7 linked regions of the Macaca mulatta genome follow. The protein of the gene in region 1 purifies or fractionates together with the protein of each later gene. This does not show direct contact. Links are inferred from orthologs where the notes say so. Each region holds a gene or a part of one and is shown in the gene's direction. Other genes may lie near its edges.

The links.
Region 2: the proteins of HNRNPU (region 1) and RPS3 fractionate together in Homo sapiens (co-fractionation; 3 studies listed by BioGRID and IntAct, with this or other methods). This does not show direct contact. The link is inferred for Macaca mulatta from reciprocal best matches to the Homo sapiens genes HNRNPU and RPS3.
Region 3: the proteins of HNRNPU (region 1) and PRMT1 purify together in Homo sapiens (affinity purification with mass spectrometry; 4 studies listed by BioGRID and IntAct, with this or other methods). This does not show direct contact. The link is inferred for Macaca mulatta from reciprocal best matches to the Homo sapiens genes HNRNPU and PRMT1.
Region 4: the proteins of HNRNPU (region 1) and MRPS9 purify together in Homo sapiens (co-immunoprecipitation; 3 studies listed by BioGRID and IntAct, with this or other methods). This does not show direct contact. The link is inferred for Macaca mulatta from reciprocal best matches to the Homo sapiens genes HNRNPU and MRPS9.
Region 5: the proteins of HNRNPU (region 1) and HNRNPA0 purify together in Homo sapiens (affinity purification with mass spectrometry; 3 studies listed by BioGRID and IntAct, with this or other methods). This does not show direct contact. The link is inferred for Macaca mulatta from reciprocal best matches to the Homo sapiens genes HNRNPU and HNRNPA0.
Region 6: the proteins of HNRNPU (region 1) and HNRNPA2B1 purify together in Homo sapiens (affinity purification with mass spectrometry; 4 studies listed by BioGRID and IntAct, with this or other methods). This does not show direct contact. The link is inferred for Macaca mulatta from reciprocal best matches to the Homo sapiens genes HNRNPU and HNRNPA2B1.
Region 7: the proteins of HNRNPU (region 1) and BTRC purify together in Homo sapiens (affinity purification with mass spectrometry; 6 studies listed by BioGRID and IntAct, with this or other methods). This does not show direct contact. The link is inferred for Macaca mulatta from reciprocal best matches to the Homo sapiens genes HNRNPU and BTRC.

What each region holds. Positions count from the first base shown.
Region 1 is NC_133406.1:4,250,634-4,254,133, forward strand, and holds part of HNRNPU (heterogeneous nuclear ribonucleoprotein U), read left to right. Parts: intron 1-1,097; coding exon 1,098-1,237; intron 1,238-2,172; coding exon 2,173-2,272; intron 2,273-2,707; coding exon 2,708-2,820; intron 2,821-3,270; coding exon 3,271-3,500. UniProt on the Homo sapiens protein: DNA- and RNA-binding protein involved in several cellular processes such as nuclear chromatin organization, telomere-length regulation, transcription, mRNA alternative splicing and stability, Xist-mediated transcriptional silencing and mitotic cell progression.
Region 2 is NC_133419.1:75,815,685-75,819,719, forward strand, and holds the start of RPS3 (small ribosomal subunit protein uS3), read left to right. Parts: upstream 1-1,235; 5' UTR 1,236-1,265; coding exon 1,266-1,295; intron 1,296-2,158; exon of another isoform or gene 2,159-2,306; intron 2,307-2,458; coding exon 2,459-2,589; intron 2,590-3,404; coding exon 3,405-3,498; intron 3,499-4,035. UniProt on the Homo sapiens protein: Component of the small ribosomal subunit. The ribosome is a large ribonucleoprotein complex responsible for the synthesis of proteins in the cell. Has endonuclease activity and plays a role in repair of damaged DNA.
Region 3 is NC_133424.1:62,140,888-62,144,249, forward strand, and holds the end of PRMT1 (protein arginine N-methyltransferase 1), read left to right. Parts: intron 1-216; coding exon 217-367; coding exon of another isoform or gene 368-459; intron 460-759; coding exon of another isoform or gene 760-817; exon of another isoform or gene 818-1,038; coding exon 1,039-1,160; intron 1,161-2,576; coding exon 2,577-2,660; 3' UTR 2,661-2,862; downstream 2,863-3,362. UniProt on the Homo sapiens protein: Arginine methyltransferase that methylates (mono and asymmetric dimethylation) the guanidino nitrogens of arginyl residues present in proteins such as ESR1, histone H2, H3 and H4, FMR1, ILF3, HNRNPA1, HNRNPD, NFATC2IP, SUPT5H, TAF15, EWS, HABP4, SERBP1, RBM15, FOXO1, CHTOP, MAP3K5/ASK1, MICU1 and NPRL2.
Region 4 is NC_133418.1:13,170,666-13,174,165, forward strand, and holds part of MRPS9 (small ribosomal subunit protein uS9m), read left to right. Parts: intron 1-196; coding exon 197-376; intron 377-3,500.
Region 5 is NC_133411.1:146,603,424-146,607,020, reverse strand, and holds HNRNPA0 (heterogeneous nuclear ribonucleoprotein A0), read left to right. Parts: upstream 1-1,345; 5' UTR 1,346-1,514; coding exon 1,515-2,426; 3' UTR 2,427-3,097; downstream 3,098-3,597. UniProt on the Homo sapiens protein: mRNA-binding component of ribonucleosomes. Specifically binds AU-rich element (ARE)-containing mRNAs. Involved in post-transcriptional regulation of cytokines mRNAs.
Region 6 is NC_133408.1:102,195,106-102,198,605, forward strand, and holds part of HNRNPA2B1 (heterogeneous nuclear ribonucleoproteins A2/B1), read left to right. Parts: intron 1-566; coding exon 567-686; intron 687-920; coding exon 921-1,043; intron 1,044-1,704; coding exon 1,705-1,766; 3' UTR 1,767-1,787; intron 1,788-1,943; 3' UTR 1,944-3,500. UniProt on the Homo sapiens protein: Heterogeneous nuclear ribonucleoprotein (hnRNP) that associates with nascent pre-mRNAs, packaging them into hnRNP particles.
Region 7 is NC_133414.1:113,598,323-113,601,822, forward strand, and holds part of BTRC (F-box/WD repeat-containing protein 1A), read left to right. Parts: intron 1-812; coding exon 813-999; intron 1,000-3,500. UniProt on the Homo sapiens protein: Substrate recognition component of a SCF (SKP1-CUL1-F-box protein) E3 ubiquitin-protein ligase complex which mediates the ubiquitination and subsequent proteasomal degradation of target proteins. Recognizes and binds to phosphorylated target proteins.

The sequences.
Region 1 (3,500 bases):
CAGATTTGTAAGAGTGTAAATGTAAAACTCTTTCTTACTGGAATGTCCTTTACAGAAGGTTGAGATAGTCATCTGAGCCTTTTTAAAGTAAAAAACTGCAGGTGAAAAAGGAGTTAGTTGATTTGAAAGTTTTATGTGAAATTCTGGGTTGTGTAAATAAAAAGTTGCTAGGAATTGGCAAGGTAGTGAAGTGGTGACTCATGCAGGTAATGTAATTGTTAGATTTTTTAGCAAATCAGATAGGCATATGTCAATATAAACACAATGTTGAATTCAAACAATCTGTTGAATTAAATTCTGCTGATTACAGTAATTCTAATTTAAGAAAAATTCCAAACTGTAGATTTATTTTTCTCTGATCAGTAAAAAAAAAATTGAATTCCAGCTTGACTTTAGCTGTTGAAGTGAGAAGTCTGAGAAGGTGCATGTTAATGAGCCAGTGACCCATAGGTAGCTAGGTTAAAGACACTTTGGATTTGGATAATCCGGGAAGCAGTTAATCCCTAATTGTTGAACAGGCAGTCCTGGGTAAAGAGGACCTAAAATGCTGCACTATTAACAGCATTAGACGGCCAGGTTTGTACTTCATAGATTTAGGCTGTCTTCTTCACAAGTTTTAGAAGAAGAATTTAGGAGCTAGAGCCCTGGTGCAGGATCAACAGCAGCTCATACTCCTGTTTCAAAATAATTTGGTCGTGGCCTCCCTTCAGTTTTAATGTGGCACTGGTAAATCTACCTGGTTCTGGCATGCTTCACTTTGATTTCCTGCTATCCTCTACTGCTTGCCTCTAAATCAAGGTAAAGAGCAGAGCAGGTATGTATTAATGTCACATTGTCTTGATTATTTTAAATACTTAAAATATACATGTTAAACCTTGGTATTAGTTTCAGAGGCAGTTTACTTTTCAGTACATAATTTAAAAGGAGTGACTTGGTGGGAGTGGGGCTTTAAACTGAAAATTGGAACAACAGCATGATGTGGAGAAAAGTTGTGCAGCGTTAAGTACATGCAAAAATTAAATAACCAAGTTTTCTCTACATAGCATATATGTTTACATTGGATGTCAAAAGTAACACAGTATTTGATATAATTACAGATAATTGTGATCTACATTTTAAAATATCAAGAGATCGTCTCAGTGCTTCTTCCCTTACAATGGAAAGTTTTGCTTTTCTTTGGGCTGGAGGAAGAGCATCTTATGGTGTGTCAAAAGGCAAAGTGTGTTTTGAGATGAAGGTAAATGCAATTTTATGATGTTTTTGTTTGATTTTGGAGACAGAGTCTCACTCTGTCCCCTAGGCTGGATTGGTGTGGTGTGACCCAGGCTCAACTGCAACCTCCTCGTCCTGGGTTCAAGTGATTCTTCTTGCCTCAGCCTCACAAGTAGCTGGGACTATAGGCACGTGCCACCACACCTGGCTAATTTTTGTATTTTTAATAGAGAACGGGGCTCCTGACCTCAGGTGATCCACCCACCTCGGCCTCCCAAAGTGCTGGGATTACAGGCTTGAGCCACCGCGCCCAGCCTTTTTTTTTCTTTTCTTTTTTTCTTTTTAAAATAGTGACAGGGTCTCACCATGTTGCCCAGGCTGGTCTTGAACTCGTAAGCTCAAGTGATCTGCCTGCCTGGGCCTCCCAGAATACTGAAATTACAGGTGCTTCATACTGCTAAGTTATCAGAGGTACTTATTTTTTGAAGCTTCCTGTAAATTAAAAGAGGAACTTGGAACCTTCATTTTGTTGTGACAGTTAAGTTATGTTAGAACTTGACATGCAGAGCTAGGCAACTTTTTATTTAGGGTACTTCATTTTTATCAAGCATTTGAAAGGGCCACCAAAGAGTGAAAAATAAAATTTGGTTAGATTACAGGTTTTGTTGGCGAGAAAAACATTAAATGTATCCTTTAATTGGCTTTAAGTTGAAGACTGACAACATGAACTGTAAAAATATTAACTATTCTTTTAAATATGGGTCAAATAAGTATTTAACATTTCAAGTTATAAGCACATCAGTTTAAAGTTCTTACAAATATTAGGGATGGGCTAGAGTGTGCCATCTCTTTGTATTTATAGCTCGAGGAAGATTAGCTCATGACCCTATGAAATAAGCCAGAGTTAAGGGGTTACCTCCTTGGTTTATGATTTTAATTATTTAATGATTCGACTTTCAGGTTACAGAGAAGATCCCAGTAAGGCATTTATATACAAAAGATATTGACATACATGAAGTTCGTATTGGCTGGTCACTAACTACAAGTGGAATGTTACTTGGTAAAGATTCTTTTTGACTGATGTGGGCTCATGAATGTTTAGGAGGGTCTGATATCCTTATTTTTTAACCAGACTAGAAGGCATTCTAAGCCTTTTGTCTGTTTTTATCTATTCTGTTAATACTTCAGACAAGTAATATTAGCACATAGTAGGCACAGGCTACATTTTAGTTTTTGTTCCTTTATTAGAAGTTTATGGTTGAAATAAAATCTTACCCATGATATGCAAATTGTCAACTAATTTGGTCTCTGCATATATATATATCCCTCCTAACTTTCATCAATTCTAGTACAGAGGTAGAAAAGTAATAGTGTCAGTGACAGGTGATTAGGTTATATGCTCATTTCTCTTGTAGCCTACATTTTAAGTAGTGAAATAGATGAGTCTTTGGACTATTTTAAAAATCTACTTCACGAAGGTTAATTACTTTCTTAGGTGAAGAAGAATTTTCTTACGGGTATTCTCTAAAAGGAATAAAAACATGCAACTGTGAGACTGAAGATTATGGAGAAAAGTTTGATGAAAATGATGTGATTACATGTTTTGCTGTAAGTTAAAGCTAACTTTCTATGTATAAATGGCAAATTAGTAGCTATATCTAGGAACTTTTAAGAAGCTTTATTAAGGTCAATCTTCAATAGGAGCAACATAAATACACCAGTCCCTGGGTTAGTATAAATACTCATTCAGCAGTTGAATTGGGAAAATACAGGACATTTTTGAGGAACTCACTAATTTCATTTTGACTGAAAACAATGAAGATGAAATTGACCTAGAAAATTTAGTCTAACTTCTAGGTCACTATTGTTTCTGGTTCTGGAGATACGTGCTTCATTGTTTGTAACCATCAGATTTCTTAACTGTGTAGCCCTTAGAGGCCACTTAATAGTTGTTTAACCTGTAGCTCCCACAGGATAAGCTTTGCTCCTAATTTTAATTATTAGTTTTTTAGAAAGTTTATAGGAAGCAGATAACTTGAATTTTTTGCTGTTTAACAGAACTTTGAAAGTGATGAAGTAGAACTCTCCTATGCTAAGAATGGACAAGATCTTGGCATTGCTTTCAAAATCAGTAAGGAAGTTCTTGCTGGACGGCCACTCTTCCCGCATGTTCTCTGCCACAACTGTGCAGTTGAATTTAATTTTGGTCAGAAGGAAAAGCCATATTTTCCAATACCTGAAGAGTATACTTTTATCCAGAATGTCCCCTTAGAGGATCGAGTTAGAGG
Region 2 (4,035 bases), on another chromosome or scaffold:
GGCAACGGGAGAGAAAAGAAAGAAAGGAGAGAAAGAGAGAGAAAGGAGGGAAGGAGGGAAGGAAGGAGGGAAGGAAGGAAGGAAGAGAGGGAGGGTGGGCGGGCACACGAGCCACTCTCTGGGACTTCTGTTACAAATTGTAATGGACTTGATGAAAGTAAGGTGGAGTAAATGAAAACAACATAAAGGGCACAGAACACAGTCCCTAGGACACTTAGTAAATATCAGGTTTTATTATCATTTGGAATGGAGGAAATGGGCACAGACTGGGGACATTCTTTTTTTTTTTTTTTTTTTTTTTTTTTTTGAGACAGAGCCTCACTCTGTCGCCCAGGCTAGAGTGCAGTGGTGGGATCTCCGCCCACTGCAACCTCCACCTCCCGGGTCCAAGCAATCCTCCCACCTCAGCCTCCTGAGTAGCTGGGATTACAGGTGCCTGCCACCACGCCCAGCTACTTTTTCTATTTTTAGTAGAGACGGGGTTTCACCATGTTCGCCAGGCTAGTCTTTAACTCCTGACCTCAAGTAATCCGCCCGCCTTGGCCTCCCAAAGAGGAGTCTTAAATGAATTTCACTGAGGGATTTCAGCAGATTTTCATTACAATATCCACCCTGAAAGTGTAGGGGCCAGAGTTCCACGCTGGTTAAACTCTGTTGCTGTGTGAACTTATACCTGTAATTTCCACCTCTGCACCTCGCATTGCTTGTTTTTAAACTATGAGAATTGAACTCGCGGCCGGGCGCGGTGGCTCAAGCCTGTAATCCCAGCACTTTGGGAGGCCGAGACAAGCGGATCACGAGGTCGAGAAATCGAGACCATCCTGGCTAACACGGTGAAACCCTGTCTCTATTAAAAAATACAAAAAACTAGCCGGGAGAGGTGGCGGGCGCCTGTAGTCCCAGCTACTCCGAAGGCTGAGGCAGGAGAATGGCGTAAACCCGGGAGGCGGAGCTTGCAGTGAGCTGAGATCCGGCCACTGCACTCCAGCCTGGGCGACAGAGCAAGACTCCGTCTCAAAAAAAAAAAAAAAAGAGAATTGAACTCTAAGATCCTCTGAAGTCTAGCAGTCCTGCTGGTCGAACCCCCTTTACTGTTCCTGCCTACACTCTTCCTTCCCTTGACGCCTTCTTTACGTAAAAACTACATTTCCCATGAGCACCCATAGGCGTCCACGTAGCGCAGCCCTCCGCCGTCGCTCGCGCCCTTTATACTCACTTCCGCCCGCCCGCCACTTCTTTTTCTTTCGGCGGAGCGCGGCGGCAAGATGGCCGTGCAAATTTCCAAGAAGAGGAAGGTGAGCCTCTGGGGACTGGGTTCGGGGAACGACTGCGCCGCGAGGGTCAGGGGCTTCTCGGGTGCCACCGCGAGGCCTGCAGCTCCGTGCCCTGCCCTGGGAAGCGGCTTAGGCTTCCTGGCATTCCCACGGGCCGCGGATGGCGGTGGATTGAGTGAGAGGCCCGAGCCAGGCGGGCGCTGTGTGGCCGGGTAAGGGAGAGACAGGTTTTTCTCTGGTTCCGAGTGAAGCGCAGAGAGATGGGGACCAGGCGCCCCTTCTGTCCCGGAGAAGGCGTTTGTGAGCATTTTTTGGTCAATGGAATTAGTAAACGTGGTATTTTGAGGGCGTGTGTCATTTCCCTCATGTCTTATCCCATGGTTTTGGGAAGGGGAGGCAGCAGTGTATACTTGTCTTCTTACTGGTCGAGTCTGGGTACAGTCTGCTGGTCCCACGACCTCAACATGAAGGGTTACTGACGATTGCTTGCTCCGTCTGAGGACCCCGGGAGGAAGCTGCCTCGGATTTAACGCTTTGTTATTCCATGGGAAAGAACTGTGTAAAAATCATTAGCTTTAAAAATAGACAGTTTGTCATTTCGTATACCTACACTTCGATGTTAAAATTAAATCCACAACTCTTGTGAGTTAGGATTTTCCAGCTCTGTTTACAGTTAAAACCACAGGTACCGTAAGGCCAGATAACATGGCTGGGATTCTTTAGACGGTCCAGGTTGTGTCTGCAAGTGAGAGAGCTTATGTTAAGTCCACTATCTATTCTGTTCCTTCACAGTGACAAGTACAGTGTCTTTGCTGTGCTGAGTGAGGTGTAAATAGGCTATTTTAGAGCAGTTTCTTGTTTTGCATGTGGAACTGTTTTAAACCCTTCGATGAAGAGATGATGACGAGTCTGACTTGGGGGTGTTGCCTTCGCCCAGGTTGCCTACTCTGTGCTGCATTCTGTGGCACAGTTTAAAGGGCCCTGGTTGAAGTAACTTCCTAAAGATGACCTAGAGGCATTTGTCTGAGAAGGGTTGCTGCACTCCTGTTGGAACAAGGGTTTGGAACCATTGGTTGGAGGTATTTAGTTTTGGGGAGGGATGCATTGACTAATAAGACACTGGCTCAGGCGAAAGTGAGCCTACACCGATGTCCTAATTTTGAACTTCGCTTTTTTTGGATTAGTTTGTCGCTGATGGCATCTTCAAAGCTGAACTGAATGAGTTTCTTACTCGGGAGCTGGCTGAAGATGGCTACTCTGGAGTTGAGGTGCGAGTTACACCAACCAGGACAGAAATCATTATCTTAGCCACCAGGTAAAACTCACTTGACTGGCCATCACCTATAATTGTTGTAAATGCTAAGTTGGTTTATTCCTTTTTTTGTGTGTGTGAGACAGAGTCTTGCTCTGTCCCGAAGGCTGGAGTGCAGTGGTGAGATCTCTGCTCACTGCAAGCTCCGCCTCCCAGCTTCCTGCCATTCTCCTGCCTCAGCCTCCTGAGTAGCTGGGACTACAGGGGCCAACCACCATGCCCGGCTAATTTTTTGTATTTTTAGTAGATTCGGGGTTTCACTGTGTTAGCCAGGATGGTCTCAATCTCCTGACCTCGGGATCCGCCCACCTCAGCCTCCCAAAGTGCTGGGATTACAGGCATGAGCCACCGCGCCTGGCTGGTTTGTCCTTTGTGAACTTAAGGGGATAGACAGCCAGTGAGTCTGGGCTTAGTGAATGTAATTGCTTCTTAAAAGCTGGATTTTAAGGCCAGGCATAGGATCGCTTGAGCTCAGGAGTTCAAGACCAGCCTGGGCAACATGCGGAAACCCCCTCTCTAAAAAAGATAAGGTTGTGGTGGTGCACACCTGTGGTCCCAGCTATTCCAGAGGCTGAAGCAGGCGATGGCTTGAGCCCAAGAGGTCCAGGCTGCAGTGAGCCATTGGTGTGATCCAGCCTGGGTGACAGAGAGAGACCCTGTCTCAAAAAAAGCTGCATTTTGAAAATTTAACTTTAGTTTTTGTCAATGAAAATTATATGCTTTGTGGCAGAGATTTTGCTACCACATATATATTGCAAGATTTAAAGTTAAATCTAGCATTTGTGAGAGTCATGAATTGTCACTTTTTCCCCGCCCAGAACACAGAATGTTCTTGGTGAGAAGGGCCGGCGGATTCGGGAACTGACTGCTGTAGTTCAGAAGAGGTTTGGCTTTCCAGAGGGCAGTGTAGAGGTGAGTGATTCTGGCGTATGCCAGAGATAATGGCTCTTCAGAATGATAACTTCTAAAAACTGGGAGACTTTGTTCATTACAAATGGACTGATACAACTTTGTTGAAATTCTCTTAATGAATAATGGGCTTAACTTTGTAAGCCTGTTCTGCTAATGGTTGATAGTTAAAGGATTTTACATTCAACTTGGGTATAGAAATGATGCATATGATGGATTGACTGTCCCCATTGGTGTAGTTGGTATGGCCAAAGGAGCCAGGGTGGGAGGGCAAGGAACCTGCACTGTGTGTAGGTGGTAGAAGTGCTTTAGGAATTGAGGGATACTGAAATTATATGCTGTTTGTGATGGTGTTGTGCAGTCTTTTGGCCTCCGTAGGCCACGTTGGAAGAATTATCTTGGGCCACACTACTGGTAGTGCAAAAAATCACGATGTTCAATTTTTGTTGGGCCACAATCAAAGCCATCTCCTGGGCAGCATGCGACCTCTGGGTTGGGCAAGCTTGGTCTAGAAAGTGATGCTTGTGTGACATGCCAAAT
Region 3 (3,362 bases), on another chromosome or scaffold:
AGGGAGCAAAGAATCTGGGCTCAAACCGAGGCGGTTTATTGGGAGCCGGACAGTCAGGATGAGGAGTGAATGAGGAGCTGAGGCTGGGTGCCAGTAAGGGAGGGCCAGCGGGAAGGGGACAGTGAGGTCACAGGCCCTCTGGGAGCTTGAGGGAGGGAGGAGGGGATGAAGCGAGGTGGGGACACATCCCGGAGCTCACCCTCTCCTGTCCTGCAGGAGGTGGACATCTACACCGTCAAGGTGGAAGACCTGACGTTCACCTCCCCGTTCTGCCTGCAAGTGAAGCGGAATGACTACGTGCACGCCCTGGTGGCCTACTTCAACATCGAGTTCACGCGCTGCCACAAGAGGACGGGCTTCTCCACCAGTGAGGCGGGGCCCGCAGGGCTGGGGGCTGCTCCTGAGCCAGGGCCGAGGGGCACCCACATAGTGGAGGGGGTGACAGAAACGGGCAGAGGGGCCGGGCACGGTGGCTCAAGCCTGTAATCCCAGCACTTTGGGAGGCCGAGGCGGGTGGATCACGAGGTCAGGAGATCGAGACTATCCTGGCTAACATGGTGAAACCCCGTCTCTACTAAAAATACAAAAAACTAGCCGGGCATGGTGGCGGGCGCCTGTAGTCTCAGCTACTTGGGAGGCTGAGGCGGCAGAATGGCGTGAACCTGGGAGGCGGAGCTTGCAGTGAGCCGAGATCACGCCACTGCACTCCAGCCTGGGAGACACAGCGAGACTCCGTCTCAAAAAAAAAAAAAAAAAAAGAAACGGGCAGAGGGAGCCATGGGGACATGTGTGTTCCAGCGTGAGCTCTGCCATGTAGCAGTCACATGGCCTTGGGCAAGTGACCTGAGTGTGCAGTGCCTCAGTTTCCTCATCCACAAAAGCCTGACACGGTCCCTGTCTCCAAAGCTGAATGACAGGGAGGTGACTCACGGACAGCAGTCCCGTCAGCTGTCAGGGGGGTGGACATTCCAACAGAGGGAACACAAGACTGGGGCCAGGGCAGCAGGCCAAGGCCAGCTGACCCGCCTGCGCCCCCAGGCCCTGAGTCCCCGTACACGCACTGGAAGCAGACAGTGTTCTACATGGAGGACTACCTGACCGTGAAGACGGGCGAGGAGATCTTCGGCACCATCGGCATGCGGCCCAATGCCAAGAACAACGTGAGGCTCTGGGCAGCTGGGCAGGAGGGTGGCAGCCGGGGTGGGGAGCATGGATAGGGGCAGTGGTAGGGGGGAATGGTGGCAGCGTAGGGGATGGGGGTAGCTGGGGCGGATGGGGGCAGCTGGCAGGGGCGAGTGCCTCTGCCTGTTCCCGGGTCCCTGAGCCCCTCAGCCCCACGCCTGTCTACACAGCAGATTTCTTAGCATTTACTGGAAGATGGGCCTGGGGACCCAGGCCAAAGCCCTGTCCTCCTGGTGCTTCCAGTCTACACAAGGGGATCAGTGACATGGTGATGCCAGTGGGAGGTGACGTCTGTCAGGCTGGGAGCAGGGCAGACAGGTGTTGGCGTGGGTGACCTCCAGGGCAAGAGGCGGCCCCGGTAGAGCGCACAGGGTTTGCTAGCCCAGGTGGGAGGCATGAGAGGAGGAGAAAGGCAGCTTTTTGTTTTCCACTCCCCCTTTTTCCTCCTGAGCACCTGGTAGGAGCTGCCATCACCTGAGATCAGGGGGTTTCCAGGGGAGCTGGGGGGGGCTTCTGGGAGAGAGGGTCTGGGCAGAGAGGTCCAGTGTGGCGGGTTTGAGCAGGCAGGAGGATGGAAGGCCGGGAGCCTGGAGTCACCGGGAGTGGTGTGGGCTGGAAGAGTGAGTCCCGGCCCATGGGTGCGAGGGTGGGTGGCACTCAGGGCAGTCATGGAATGTGGGCCCCGGGACGCCCTCGAGCCCGTGACAGCAGCAGTTGTCAGCTGGGCAGTTTCAGTGCCCCCCACCCCCGACAGAGGACGTTCGTCACCATCTGTGGAAACATTTGTGGTTGTCACTCTGGAGAAGGGGTGCTCCTGGCATCTGGTATGTAGGGGCCAGGGGCTGGTAAACGTCCTACAACCACAGGACCACCCCCTGCAAAGACTCCTGTAGCCCCTGGGGCCACGGCGCTAGCTGGGAAACAGATACTGGAGAGGGAGGAGGAGTCCTCGGGGCTGTTGGCAACTTGATCCCCTCTTCCTGTGCTGGAGGGTATGGGGGGTCTTCCGGAAGCCTGGGAGGAGAAGTGGAGACAGAGGCTGGACCACTGCGTTTCACTGGAATGTTTGCCTGAGCAGAAGTGGGCTTGGGAGAGGTTTTCTGATTTATGAAAGAAGCAATCACTGCGTTGCTGATAGGGAACGTCTTGATGGAGAAATCCAAGGGCAAGGGATAGCAGCCAGGCTCTGCTCCTGAGTGAACCTAGTGGGCTTGAGGGTGTCCACGTGGCGCTGTCCCTTGACAGGGTCAGGACAGCTGCTAGGGTGGGACCAGCAGTTGGGGTCTGCAGTGTGGAGATGGGCAGGAAGCTGGAGCCCAGCGCATGGCCTGCCTGCACCCCCCTGCCACCACCTCCTGGTGGGTTCCGCCCTCATGCCCGCCCTCTCCCCACAGCGGGACCTGGACTTCACCATCGACCTGGACTTCAAGGGCCAGCTGTGCGAGCTGTCCTGCTCCACTGACTACCGGATGCGCTGAGGCCCGGCTCTCCCGCCCTGCACGGGCCCAGGGGCTGAGCGTTCCTAGGCGGTTTCGGGGCTCCCCCTTCCTCTCCCTTCTTCCCACAGAAGGGGGTTTTAGGGGCCTGGGCTGGGGGGATGGGGAGGGCACATCGTGACTGTGTTTTTCATAACTTATGTTTTTATATGGTTGCATTTACGCCAATAAATCCTCAGCTGGGGTCTGGTTCCATTTCCTGGGGGCAAAGGAGGTTTGGGGTTTCCTTCGCAGGTGCTGAGGTGCCAGCCTGAGCAGTGGGGGGACCGGCCTTGGAGCCTGCTGGTGGCTGCCATTCTGTGGATCTGCATCTCCCCTCCCCTGTCGCTAGGCCTCTGGCTCCCTTCCACGGCTCTCTCTCAGGGTCTGTCCCCTCCTCGGCTGTCTCAGGCTCCCTCCGGCTCCCTCCCCTCCACGGCTCTCTCAGGCTCCCTCCCATCCACAGCTGTCTCTCAGGGTCTTTGTCCCACTCTTCATCCCCTCCTGGGTCTGCGCCCCTCCCCTCTGCAGTGCCCCTGTGTCCTCCTGCCTGGTGGGGGATGGGGTTGGCGTTCCAGCACAGCCAGCCCTCAAGTTTCCCAGAACAGTCTCCCCACCTTCCCCCAACACTCACATTGTACCTCTCTGGCTGTTTTTTCCTGTTTGGGTCCCTCCAAGGCCCAACTGTGCCCAGCCCTCTGCAGC
Region 4 (3,500 bases), on another chromosome or scaffold:
GCAAGCTTTTGAGCAGGGGACAGATTCTAACAACTTTTTTAGCAGACCTTTTAAACTTTTTTTTTGGACTCTTGTCACTTGAATACCATAATAAAAGAAGACAATTACTCGCATATATTATTTTATTTAAGGACAGTGCCCTAGAAGATCACAGTCTAATTTATTTCCTTTTCTTTCCATCTGTATTTTCTGTTAGATATTAAGGCTAAGACATACTGCAGTTAGAACAACAAAGAAAAATGTTCCCGCCTCAAAACGTGAAACTTACACAGAGGATTTTATTAAAAAGCAGATTGAAGAGTTCAACATAGGAAAGAGACATTTAGCCAACATGATGGGAGAAGATCCAGAGACTTTCACTCAAGAAGATATTGATGTAAGTACAGTTACTCTGTTGGAAAAGTAATTGCTGTAGAGTTTTAGATATTAAAAGCACTTTTCTTCATGAGCCCCTTAGCTCTGTGTTTTAATCAAGCTGTCAGAATAAAGAAAAATGCTGCTATCCATTGCAAGTTGGGGCCACAGTTTCAAAGACAAATGTGCAGGATTTACATAGTGTGGTGAGTTTTAGGTGTTACCTAGAAATGAGTCTATAAATGTTCATACACTATTGGGAAATGTTTAACCTATTGTGTAGTCTTAGACTCAGCTTTCTTACAAAATGATAAAACAGATGATAATGAAAATAGAGTCAAATTTATATCAAGTCCCATAAGTAAACCTTGGCCCAGTGTTTTTGTCAACTTAAATATATATCTGAATTTTCAAAATGGGGGCATAGTCTAAGTGATTTGAAAATTAGGATCAGAATTCTATTCACTCTTGAATTATTATATTCCTGATAAGAGCAATAATTGTTGATAGTATTTTTGCTGGACATCCTAGAGTAGCTAGCAAAGGAAGTTGAATTTAACAACTTTGAATCTTGTCCTTATTTTAAAAAAGTAACATCTAATATCCCATGATGTTTTATATTTAACCGAAGAACAACATCTTTGTATAGATAATAACATTCTTACATGATTTTAATATTATTTTTAGTCATTTTGTGCACTTTAGTTTAATTTCAATCTTTTTGTATACCTTTCCTATTTATAAATGGTACTGAAGTATCACTTTCAGGCCCCAGAGCAACATTTTTTATTCAACCAGAAGGATTTCTTTCTTTCTTTCTTTCTTTTTTTTTTTTTTTTTTTGGAGACGGAGTCTTGCTCTGTTGCCCAGGCTAGAGTGCAATGGCACAATCTTGGCTCACTGCAACCTTTGCCTCCCGGGTTCAAGCAATTCTCCTGCCTCAGCCTCCTGAGTAGCTGGGCTTACGGGCATGTGCCACCACACCCAGCTAATTTTTGTATTTTTAGTACAGATGGGGTTTCAACATGTTGGTCAGGCTGGTCTTGAACTCCTGACCTCTGGTGATCCACCCACGTCAGCCTCCCAAAGTGTTGGGATTACAGGCGTTAGCCACTGGGCCTGGTCCAGAAGGATTTCTTATTGCTCTTCTAGGTTAGGTGATTTGTAGTTAGGGATTTTGTAGCTGCTGTCCTCTTTTTGAATTTTATGGTAATCTGGACAGTATTGGGGGATATTATCTATGAAGAGATGCTATTCTTCAGTTATGTATAAAATATCATGAGATGTTAGATATTACTTTTTAAAAATTAGAACAAGGTTCAAAGTTCTTAAATTTAAATTTGATATTACTTTTTAAAAATTAGAACAAAGTTCAAAGTTCTTAAATTTAAGTTCCTTTGCTAGCTATCCTGGGATGTTTAGCAAAAAAAAAAATTATTGACCGTTATTGCTTTTATCAGGAATGTAATAATTGAAGAGTGCAACAGGAATAGAATTCAGGTCCTAATTTTCAAATCACCTAGAACATAGACTCTCTAGACTCTAGGTTTGTCTACCCCGGACTTTCATATAAGTAGAATCATATAGTATTTGGTCTTTAGTAACTGGCTTCTTTCACTTAGCACAATGTTTTCGTGTTTATCTGCATTGTGGCATGTGTCAGTACTTCATTCCTTTTTAATACTGAATAGTTTTCGGTTGTATGGATATACCACATTTTACAAATTCAGTCATCAGTTGATGGGCATTTGGGTTTCCACTTTTGGTTATGAATAATGCTACCATGGTGCATGCTGTAAAGTTCTTGTGCAGACGTATGTTTTTATTTCTCTTATGTATATACCTTAGAAACCATTGCTAATCCAAGGTCATGAAAATTCACCCCTGTATTTTCTTCTACTAGTTTTGTAGTTTTAGCTCTTACATTTAGGTGTTTGATCCATTTTAAGGTTATTTTTGTGTGTGATATGAGGCAGGGGTCTAGCTTTGTTCTTTTCCATGTGGACATTCAGTTGTTCCAGCATCATTTGTTGGAAAGACTATTTTTTCCCATTGAATTATTTTGTCACTCATATTGAATATCAGTGTAACTGTAAGGGTTTAATTCTGGACCTTATTTTATTCCATTGATCTATACATTTATCCTTATGCCAGTACCACTTTGTCTTGATTACTGTAGCTTTATAGTAAGTTTTGAAATTGGGAAGTGTAAGTTCTCTTCTTTCCTTCTTGCTTTTCAAGATTATTTTGGTTGTTCTTTGCTCCTTGAATTTTCATATGAAATTTTAGGATCAGCTTGTCAGTTCCTGCAAGGAGCCACCTAAGATTTGGATAGGGATTGTACTGAATCTCTAGATTGATTTTGAGAGTATTCCCATCTTTATGTTAATTAAGTCTTCTGATCGCTGAACATGGAGTGTCCTTCTATAGATACAGATCCTCTTTAATTTCTCAGTGATGTTTTGTAGTTTTCAGAGTCTAAATTTGGCACTTTTTTGTTAAATTTATTCCTAAGTATTAATGCCTTAGAAACTTCTCTATTGTAAATAGAATTGTTCTCTTTTATAATATTTTTGGGTTTCTTATTGCAACTGAATACAGTTGATTTTTGTTTATTTTTTATTTTGAATCTACATCCTTGCTGAACGTACTAATTCTCATAGTTCTTAGTGAATTCCTTGGGATTTTCTAAATATAGGATATAGCAAGATAGCGCATATATAGAAGGGTGTAGCAGGATATCCCATATATTTATGAATCCCAAAGAATCCACTAAAAACTACGAGAATTAGTAGGATATTTCAACTGCAAATGGAAATAGTTTTACTTCATTTTTCCTAATCTGGATACCTCTATTTCTTTTTCTTACCTAATTTCCTTGGCTTAGAACCTCTAACAATGTTGAGTAGAAATGGCAAGAGTGGGCGTCCTAATTTTGTTCCTGATCTTGGGGGAAAGCATTCAGTCATTCACCATTAAATATGATGTTGGCTGTGGGTTTTTCATGGATGCTCTATCAGATTCAGTAAGTTTTTTTCCATACCTAGTTTGTTGAACTTTTTTGTTGTGGTGGTTAGTGTTTTTGTCACGAAATGGTATTGGATATTGTCAGATTCTCTTCCATTTTGATGATTTGGTTTTGTCTT
Region 5 (3,597 bases), on another chromosome or scaffold:
GCATGGTGGTGGGCGCCTGTAATCTCAGCTACTCAGGAGACTGAGGCAGGAGAACAGCTTGAACCCAGGAGGCGGAGGCTGCTGAGCCGAGATTGCCCCACTGCACTCCAGCCTCGGCAACAAAAGTGAAACTCATCTCAAAAAAAAACAAAAACAAAAACAAAAAACTAACATTCTAGTTGAAAGAAAGCAACACATGGATGATGTAAATTACACATAAAAACCCATTCACTGAGGTTAAATGAAAATTTTGGAGTATGCCAAGGGGACCTGAAAGGGCCTCCTTCTGAGAGGGCGTCGTGGGAGGGCTTCAAGGATGGCGGGATGGTGGCAGGGATGTCGCGCCTCGTCTGGTTCGTAATGTCTGAAGCTCTTTGGTTCCGTTGTCTTTCACACCGCCGCCTCGGGCTCGCTTTTGCGCAGGGCCACGTGGCAGAGTTTTAGTTTAACCGCATGTCGGCCCACCGTAAACGGTTAATAACCGCCTTCGTGGACCAGGCCTCTGCCCTCCATCTTTGTGCGGGCGGGAGGTGGGGCGGGGACGCCAGGTGTAGCGGACAAGCGGAAAGGCGGCGGGTAGATCCGGGCCCCCAACCCCAACGTCAAGTTTTCAAAAAGCCCGCGCATGGCGCCCCAGGCCGCATCCGCTGGGAATGGCCCCCAGCGCGCCTCCTGCTCTCTCCCCTGCAAAGCCCTGGGCTGCAGAAGGCGAGGGGGTGGCAGACAGGTTCTGCACGCTGGGGGCGCCGGGGCAAGCGCGCACCGGGGAGCGCGCCCGTCCAACAGCTGCCGAAAACGGAAGTGGGTGCGAGGGGATCACGGTGATTGGCTGAACTGACATGTCTCTCAAGGGGCTGGCGCGAACGCCACTGCGGAGTTGGGCGCGGAGATGAGGAAAGGGGAGGGGGAGAAACACTGGGAACAGCCGCAGTGCTAGGAGGAAATGAATCGCGGCGGTGCGCGGAGGGCAGGGAGGGACCCATGTCAAGGGACAATAGGGCGCTCGGGAATGAAAGCGGGTTGGCAGAAGGGGAGGCGGGAGCGGCACAGGCCGCGGGCTTGAATAGACCGCGGAGGGCGGGGAGTCCGTGATCTAGAGCGGCGCTGCGGCGCGGTAGGCGGGATTAAGGGGAGCGAGGCGGGGATTGGAGGGCAGCCCTAGGCTGCCGTACGTCGGCGGTGACGCACGCCTCGGGGAGGGTGCGCGCGCGTTCAGCGGCCTCTTTGTGTGGTGCCCAGATAGGGGAGCGGAGGTGGCGGCGGCGGTAGCGGTGGCCTTGGTTGTCTTCCAGTCTCCTCGGCTCGCCCTTTCGCCGGCACCGCTCCCCTTCCCTCCCCCTTCCTTTCTTCCTTCCTTCCCTCCCCTTCCCTTTTTCCCTTCCCTGTCGGTGACCGGCGGGGGTGGCTCCAGCAGCGGCTGGGCCCAAGCTGTGTAGAGGCCTTAACCAACGATAACGGCGGCGACGGCGAAACCTCGGAGCTCGCAGGGCGGGGGCAAGGCCCGAGCCTTGGAGATGGAGAATTCCCAGTTGTGTAAGCTGTTCATCGGCGGCCTCAATGTGCAGACGAGTGAGTCGGGCCTGCGCGGCCACTTTGAGGCCTTTGGGACTCTGACGGACTGCGTGGTGGTGGTGAATCCCCAGACCAAGCGCTCCCGTTGCTTTGGCTTCGTGACCTACTCCAATGTGGAGGAGGCCGACGCCGCCATGGCCGCCTCGCCCCATGCCGTGGACGGCAACACTGTGGAGCTGAAGCGGGCGGTGTCCCGGGAGGATTCGGCGCGGCCCGGTGCCCACGCCAAGGTTAAGAAGCTCTTTGTCGGCGGCCTTAAGGGAGACGTGGCTGAGGGCGACCTGATCGAGCACTTCTCGCAGTTTGGCACCGTGGAAAAGGCCGAGATTATTGCCGACAAGCAGTCCGGCAAGAAGCGTGGATTCGGCTTCGTGTATTTTCAGAATCACGACGCGGCAGACAAGGCCGCGGTGGTCAAGTTCCATCCGATTCAGGGCCATCGCGTGGAGGTGAAGAAGGCAGTCCCCAAGGAGGATATCTACTCCGGTGGGGGTGGAGGCGGCTCCCGATCCTCCCGGGGCGGCCGAGGCGGCCGGGGGCGCGGCGGTGGTCGAGACCAGAACGGCCTTTCCAAGGGCGGCGGCGGCGGTTACAACAGCTACGGTGGTTACGGCGGCGGCGGTGGCGGCGGCTACAATGCTTACGGAGGCGGCGGCGGCGGTTCGTCCTACGGTGGGAGCGACTACGGTAACGGCTTCGGCGGCTTCGGCAGCTACAGTCAGCATCAGTCCTCTTACGGGCCCATGAAGAGCGGCGGCGGCGGCGGAGGCAGCAGCTGGGGCGGTCGCAGTAATAGTGGACCTTACAGAGGCGGCTATGGAGGTGGGGGTGGCTATGGAGGGAGCTCCTTCTAAAAGAAAATTTAAAATGCCTGGGAGTGGCTATTGGGGTAGCTCTTTTCAAAAACCCAAGTGGGGTCAACTCCTAAGCCCCACCCCCTCACACCCACACCACCGCCTTCCCTGTTTTGCCCTTGGGGGAGCCACTTCTAAGGCTGCTTACCCTTGGGGGTGTTCCTCTATTTGCCTGCCACCTCTCTTGTCTCTCCCTCTGAAGATGGACTCGGCCCCACATACACATTTTTGTGTTACAGTCATTGATGGACTCTATTTTTTTATTATTACTTGGACCTTGGTCGTTTTTATACTAGCAAAATGTCTTGTTTTAATTTGTGTTTTTTGGGGGGAGGGAGGGAGTGAACTTGCTGATTCTGTAGCAAAACCTGGGCGGGGGTTGGGGTGGGGGGTAGTTTACTTTGTTGTAAGGACTTGATAACCTGGCTACAGCGTTTTCTATGAAATCTACTTGGATCCCATGCCTGAAATTTGGAAGCATATGTACAAAAATCATTTTTACGTTTTATTTTTAATAAATCATTGTGTTTGACCGTACATGTCTAACATTTCTTTTCTAGGATCCATTCCGTACCGTTTTTAAGGGATATTTGTTTAAGACTTTACGTGTTAATTCTTTATTCTTGATGTGTACTTAGAGAAACTTAAGAGGTCCTGTGGTCCCCCCCCCCGCCCCCCGTTGCCCTGCTAGTTGCGTGTTGAATTATATCCCCTACAGGCAAAACTTTTGAAGTGGTGGATGTGGCTTTTTAAACTCTTAAGTTTCTGTGCATCCATCTCTTGTACTAAGCGATTTGCTTACCATCTTGACATGGTTGGTCATTTCTATGACAATTTACTTCAAACTGTGTACTGTGTAGTTCTATATAGTTTGTGTTAAGCATGTCATTCATATAAACTGTTTAAAATTTTTCAGATGGCCTAGTTTCATCCCTCTTACTGGTTTATCTGTAATGAATGGTTAAAAATGAGGGTTATATTTTACCCTCAGATGCGTTTTTGTACTTTCAGAGCAGGTTTAAACGGTTTTTTTCCCCCTCTATATCTGAACTGTTGTCCTCATGGAAATCCTTTTCCCGATCTTTGTAGCACCACCTACTGGCAGAATGGCAGAGTAGCTGCGAAACAATTTGTTTAAAAACTTGCTTAGGACAATTGCATCAGATATAGA
Region 6 (3,500 bases), on another chromosome or scaffold:
ACAGGCGCCTGCCACTACAACCGGCTAATTTTTTGTATTTTTAGTGGAGATGGGGTTTCACCGTGTTAGCCAGATGGTCTTCTTATCTCTTGACCTTGTGATCCACCCACCTCAGCCTCCCAAAGTTTACAGGCGGGAGCCCCCGTGCCTGACCGAGAACATTGTTTTAAAAGATGTAATTCGTAGGGAGACATAATAGAAACTTTCTTTTGGGCCAGTAGGGGGAAGTGCTCTTTTACTTTCTCCCTAACCCACACTGCTAGTCTAGCCTCACAACCTTACCCACTATATACATGTAGTATTTCAAGATAACTTAAGATTTTTAGTATTGAGGGAAAGCTGTAGCGTTACAGGTATTTAAGTGGGTACACATGGTGTTATCCATTTGGCTGGGTAGGCACTCTAGCCACCACATGTTTACCAAGGGTAGGTATTCAGTCCTTCAAGCTGTTTTAGAGGAATTTCATTGAATGTTTCACATGCAAACTTGGAAATGGATGTGAGGAGACAGTTCAAAATGGCATTGAAAATATTAAGTGATTACTTAAAGGCTTATTTTATAATAGGTGGCAATTTTGGAGGTAGCCCCGGTTATGGAGGAGGAAGAGGAGGATATGGTGGTGGAGGACCTGGATATGGCAACCAGGGTGGGGGCTACGGAGGTGGTTATGACAACTATGGAGGAGGTAATAAATTCACCTGCAACCTTTATGTGGGAATTTGGAATTAATGGCTTTGTAATACTTGATCTTTTATTTCAATGTTTGTCACTAGATAAAGTGTTTGCTTTTGTTTTTGTGGGAGCTTTGTCCTAAATCCTTAGCATGTGTCTTTGGTTTAATGTTTTTCTGGTTTAATGTTCTTTTGGTTTAATGTATTGTTCTGAGGTCCATTATACTAGTGTTCCAATTTTTTTATAGGAAATTATGGAAGTGGAAATTACAATGATTTTGGAAATTATAACCAGCAACCTTCTAACTATGGTCCAATGAAGAGTGGAAACTTTGGTGGTAGCAGGAACATGGGGGGACCATATGGTGGAGGTAATTTATAACAATTGAGATTTTTCAGATGTTTGTGATTAAAGGATTAGCCTTTTGTGACTTAAAGGGAAAATAACATACTAAATAGTTTGGGTTGTGGGATATACGGTCTTAGTGAAAATAAAGAAATTTTGCATAAATCTCCACAGAAGTACTCAGCAAGCAGTTACAACATCAAATTGGGATTAGGGGTGTTGGAGGTGGGGAAGTTCAGTAGTTCAATTTCTGGTGGGGGCTGGTAAACAGCTAAGTAAAATTGTAACCCACATTGCAAGTGGTGTAAATTGGAATGAGGGTCTTTGAAGTTAAATTATTAAACCATGATTCAAACCATTGCTTAGCTTATTCTTGAGGTTTTTAGCAGGAGTAAACATTTTCTGTGTCTTGGTCTTGGTGTACTTTAAAAAAATCCCTTAGTCCAAATGAGGATGAGAGGACCCTTTATTTAAAAGAATAGCATAGCATCAGCCACGAAATAAAAATGTCTATGAACCTGAGTAATTTATCTCCCAAGTAATTCTGCTAACTGGCTGCAAAGGGTTAGGATCTGCTTGTTTTTATTAAAGACTGGATGGATAGAAAATAGAATCAGCTGTAGTGTTATAGTGATTATGGGAAATCAAAGTAAGTTTGTTTTCTCTTGCTGTTCCAACAATTATAGGAAACTATGGTCCAGGAGGCAGTGGAGGAAGTGGGGGTTATGGTGGGAGGAGCCGATACTGAGCTTCTTCCTATTTGCCATGGGTAAGTAGCTTTTGAGTTTTACAATTATTATTATCTTGGGAGACATAGCTGCAGGAGTAAAAGCTTTTTAGGATCATGTTATCTTTCCTTAAAATCTGGTTAGATGGATAATTTCATAACCTATTTTTTTTTTACTCTTTACTTCTGTTGAAACAGGCTTCACTGTATAAATAGGAGAGGATGAGAGCCCAGAGGTAACAGAACAGCTTCAGGTTATCGAAATAACAATGTTAAGGAAACTCTTATCTCAGTCATGCATAAATATGCAGTGATATGGCAGAAGACACCAGAGCAGATGCAGAGAGCCATTTTGTGAATGGATTGGATTATTTAATAACATTACCTTACTGTGGAGGAAGGATTGTAAAAAAAAAATGCCTTTGAGACAGTTTCTTAGCTTTTTAATTGTTGTTTCTTTCTAGTGGTCTTTGTAAGAGTGTAGAAGCATTCCTTCTTTGATAATGTTAAATTTGTAAGTTTCAGGTGACATGTGAAACCTTTTTTAAGATTTTTCTCAAAGTTTTGAAAAGCTATTAGCCAGGATCATGGTGTAATAAGACATAACGTTTTTCCTTTAAAAAATTTAAGTGCGTGTGTAGAGTTAAGAAGCTGTTGTACATTTATGATTTAATAAAATAATTCTAAAGGAAATTGTGTAATTATAGACTTTTTATTTTAAATAAGTTAAGGAGTGGGTAGTATAATTAAGGTCCGTTGCAAAGCTGTTGTTATATTTGTATAAGATAAATGCTGGTCAGATATAAGTGTGTTGTCTGCAATTCATCAGGATTAAATTATGTAGATAACTTAAGGGATATCTCTGCAAGGAGAAACACCTTTTTAGATCTTTTAGATGCTGCTTCTTCAATGCAAGGAAAGGAAATAACCCCAGCGAGGTACTCTTCAGGGACACAGGTCTAGTACAAGAGAACTCTTGACGGCTACTAAGTTCAGCCAGTCTTAAAAAACTGTGCTGTTTCTACAAAACTTTAACTACAGTAGTTTTTAAGGATGCCAACGAAAGCTGAGGGTGTAGAGCAAAATAGTTCTAAGCTTCAGTTAAACTTCTTTAGGTAAGATCTTATTTACTTTTCCTTTCTTAATTTTCCTCCCTAAAAGATAAACTAATACTCTTAAATGGTCTTTCAGTATAGTGGTTCTTACGTAGTTTAACATAGCTATAAATTGAGTTTAACAATTTATAAACTCAAGAGAATAATTTTTATAAACCCTGTTTTCCAATCTGTCATTTACTTAAATTATTTTGGTTGTTTTTCCCTTTTTTTCCTTCTTTTCCTACCCCCTCCCCCTCCGTGTGAAGATTTGGGTGCTTAACATATCATTTTTTTCCCTGCTGGAATTTTAGCATTGATATGAACCATGGACAAGTATATTCTGCTGCCACAAAGACTGTAAAGTGCTTCATTTCAACAGCTGAGGCAAGCCAAGTGATCATTAATAAAGCTTTTCTTGGTTCCTTCAGTGGTGTTGGTAGTAAAATGGTAGGTAAAAGTTAGGCTGCAAGTTCAATAAATCATGAGATTTCCCATCGTTACACCCTTGTGTATTCACATTTCTTGGATCAAACATTTTGAGTGAACTAGGGGTTTTTATTAAAGACATTTGTTGTATTTATGGTTGTAACTGTACATGCTTATCAGGAAGAGACTGAAGGTAGGGCAAAAATGGTTGAATCTATTTTCAGATAGTAGT
Region 7 (3,500 bases), on another chromosome or scaffold:
CTTTAATTGGAAAGCCCTTCTGGTTTGTACGCCCCAGGATCTATTCTCCACTATTTTCCTCTGCACCTCCTACAGAATATTCTCTGAAATGCTAACCAAGTTATCTTTTGGTCTGGAATTTTTTCATTTTTACTCAACTGTCATTTAGGTTTTATAGCAGCAGCTACTCTCAAATATAGTTTTGTTTTTTTTTTTTAATCTGAAATTATACTCATTCTTGAACTTAAACATACATCTCTGTCTTTCTCTTGGGATATTTCCATGCCATTCTATATTTCCTTCTTCTCTCCTTCTGCATGCCCAAAATTCTATAACCCAGCACATTCTGACTTAGTGCCTCTCCCCCAGTACATTTAAAGGATATTTCTTTAACCGAACAGCTTTGGAACTGCAGCAGTAATAGAAACAGAATGAGAAATGGACCTAATATAGAGATTTGGGGGGGTCTGAATCATAGAGTTTGAGATGCCATCCATAGAACATCCCCTAGTGCTGAAATCCATATAGATAGATGTGAATTGTTTTCTGGAATCCTTTTTATTTTTAATGTCTTGGGGGGTTTGCTGGTTGTTAACTTTAACTTCCTTATCTAAAGGAAGATGGAAAATACTGTTCATTTCTGTAACCTTATGGAAAAATTATTGACACTCATTTTACCCAAGCCTCTGTTTGAAAAAGAAACTGGACCACACTAGGGACAATGATGTGCCTTCATAGCAGAACAAATGCTGTTCTGTTTTAAAGGACCTTTTGTAAAAAATCATTCACCACCCTCTGTGTTCTTTTTCTTTGCCTCCTCCCTCTCCTGAAAGCTCGGGGTTTGGATCATATTGCTGAGAACATTCTGTCATACCTGGATGCCAAATCACTATGTGCTGCTGAACTTGTATGCAAGGAATGGTACCGAGTGACCTCTGATGGCATGCTATGGAAGAAGCTCATCGAGAGAATGGTCAGGACAGATTCTCTGTGGAGAGGCCTGGCAGAACGAAGAGGGTGGTGAGCCTTTAACTTTTCTTACTATTACATGGCTTCAGGACCTGGCCAGTCACAGTCACTGAAAGATTTTTGGGGAGCCAGTGAGACCACTTCTCATTTAATATGGTGATTTTGTTGATTTGCAGCTTAAAATGTAACAGAGAACAAGTATTCATGTACTCAGCAGTTTTTCTTCTTACCTGTCACTCACAAAATGACATGATATTGTATTAATACTGCTTTGCAAAAAATAATGGAAAGTTTACCAGCCCTCCTGTTTAAAGCATTCTGTTATCTGGGCAGAAGTTGGTATCCTGCGGCTGGGTACAGTGGTTCACGCCTGTAATCCCAGCACTTTGGGAGGCCAAGGTGGGCAGATCACTTGAAGCCAGGAGTTTGAGACCAGCCTGGCCAACATGGCGAAACCCTGTCTCTACTAAAGATTCAAAATGTAGCCGGGTGTGGTGGCATGCACCTGTAATCCCAGCTACTCTAGAGGCTGAGGCAGGAGAATCGTATGAACCCAGGCGGTAGACGTTGCAGTGAGTGGAGATTGAGCCATTACACTCCAGCCTAGGTGACAGAGCGTGACTTTGTCTCCAAAAAAAAAAAAAAAAGTTGGTATCCTCCAAAAGGACTGATGGGCAATTTATGAGCCAAAATAAAGTAGATGACTTTGAATCACATAGAAACCATCCAGGATAGCTTTCCCCTAAAATAATCCAAGACAAATGATTTTCTTTTCTTTCAGAAAATTTATTGCCTTTATCTTATGCGTCTGGTGTTTTGTCACCTTTGTAATCAAAAATTATTTTTATGCTCAAGTGGAATAAGAACTCTAGCCATCAGAAAAAGTGAAAATGAAATTCATTATAAATCATTGTTTCTTCTTAAGACTTCTGTTTTTCAAGATTTTCTGACTTAATTCCGAATTCCCCAAAGCATCATATAGTTAGCAGTCTAAGAGACCTCACTACTTTTTTTGTTGTTCTCTTAACAGTGCCATTTCATTAGAACTTCTGAAAGATATCTTTCCTTAAATAATTTTCTCTCAGAGTATGTCTCTAGAATGTCACTATAGGAAAGCTACGTAGTAATAAAGGTAACATTAAATATTCTCGTTGACAGAAAACATTATAATAGGCATGTGTGTGCTTAGTGGTGTCCTTCCAAATTAATTTTATCTGTTGTTTATCTTGGATCATAAAGAGGAAAACAGTTAAAAATAGAGAACACTTGTAAAAGATAAATATTCATGGACCAGCTTTCCTTCGAATTTTCATTAAATATATTTGGGTCTCTTTCTTTTTTTCTGTCTTTGAAATTTATTAACACCTAGTAAATACAACGACCTATATTATACCAAATGCTTCAGAGATTTTTATCATTCTGGCTATTAGGAAGACTGTTTAAATTTTTCTCTCAAATCGAATTAAAGGAACAAAAAGCTAGGCAATTTTTAGGCTATGTAGAAAAGAATATTGTTGGCCAGGCAGGGTGGCTCACGCCTGTAATCCCAACAGTTTTGGAGGCCAAGGCAAGAGGATTGTTTGAGCCCAGGAGTTTGCGACCAGGCTGAGCAACATAGTGAGACCTCATCTCTACAAAAAAATCAAAAAATTAGCTGGGCCTGGTGGCGCATGCCTGTAATCCCAGCTACTCAGGAGGCTGAGGCGGGAGGATGGCTTCAGCCTGGGAAGTTGAGGCTGCAGTGAGCTATGATCATGCCACTGTACTCCAGCCTGGGCAACAGAGCAAGACCCTGTCTCTTTCTCTGTCTCTCTCTCTCTCTCTCTCTCTCTCTGTCTCTCTCCCTCTCTCTCTCTCTCACACACACACACACACTCACACACACACACATATTACTACTTCTCAAATATATTTTTTAATTCTCACTTATTTCACTACATAGAAAAATAGCAATCTTTCATAACCTACTTCATACTTTGGAAATAAACTCTTTAATAGTACAACAAAGCAAATAAAAATAGAGTTATATGGTATTCAGGGTCCATCATTTTGCTGAGTGCTGGGACCAGCCTTGAGGATACAGCAGGCAACTGTTTACATGGGAGAATTTTAGGGCAGCTGAGAAGATTTCTCTGTCCCTCAGAAAAAAAGAATCTCTTCTCCAAATAACTCCTGAAATTTCAATTAAGGGGATTCATTCCTTTAGCTATAAAGGTTCTGTTCCCTGTTAAAATACATTGTGTTCCCATTTGGACTGTAAATGACAGTAAACCTTCATCAGACATTGGGATTTTGCTGAGTCCTTTTTTGAAGGCAGAAAAATCAAGAAGTAAGTAGGCAGTTCTTGGCAGATGGATGTGAAAATGCCAAAGTAAATGGTAACTCTTAAAAGTATAATAAAAGACCACTTGGGAAAAGTCAATTTTCTTAATCAGCAGATCACATTTTATGATAACATTCTGAATTTAATATTTAACATTTATCATGTACTCACATTCTCGTAGGTACTAGGCATTTCACGTAGAAGTAGTCCCTGTTGTCAGAGATCTTCC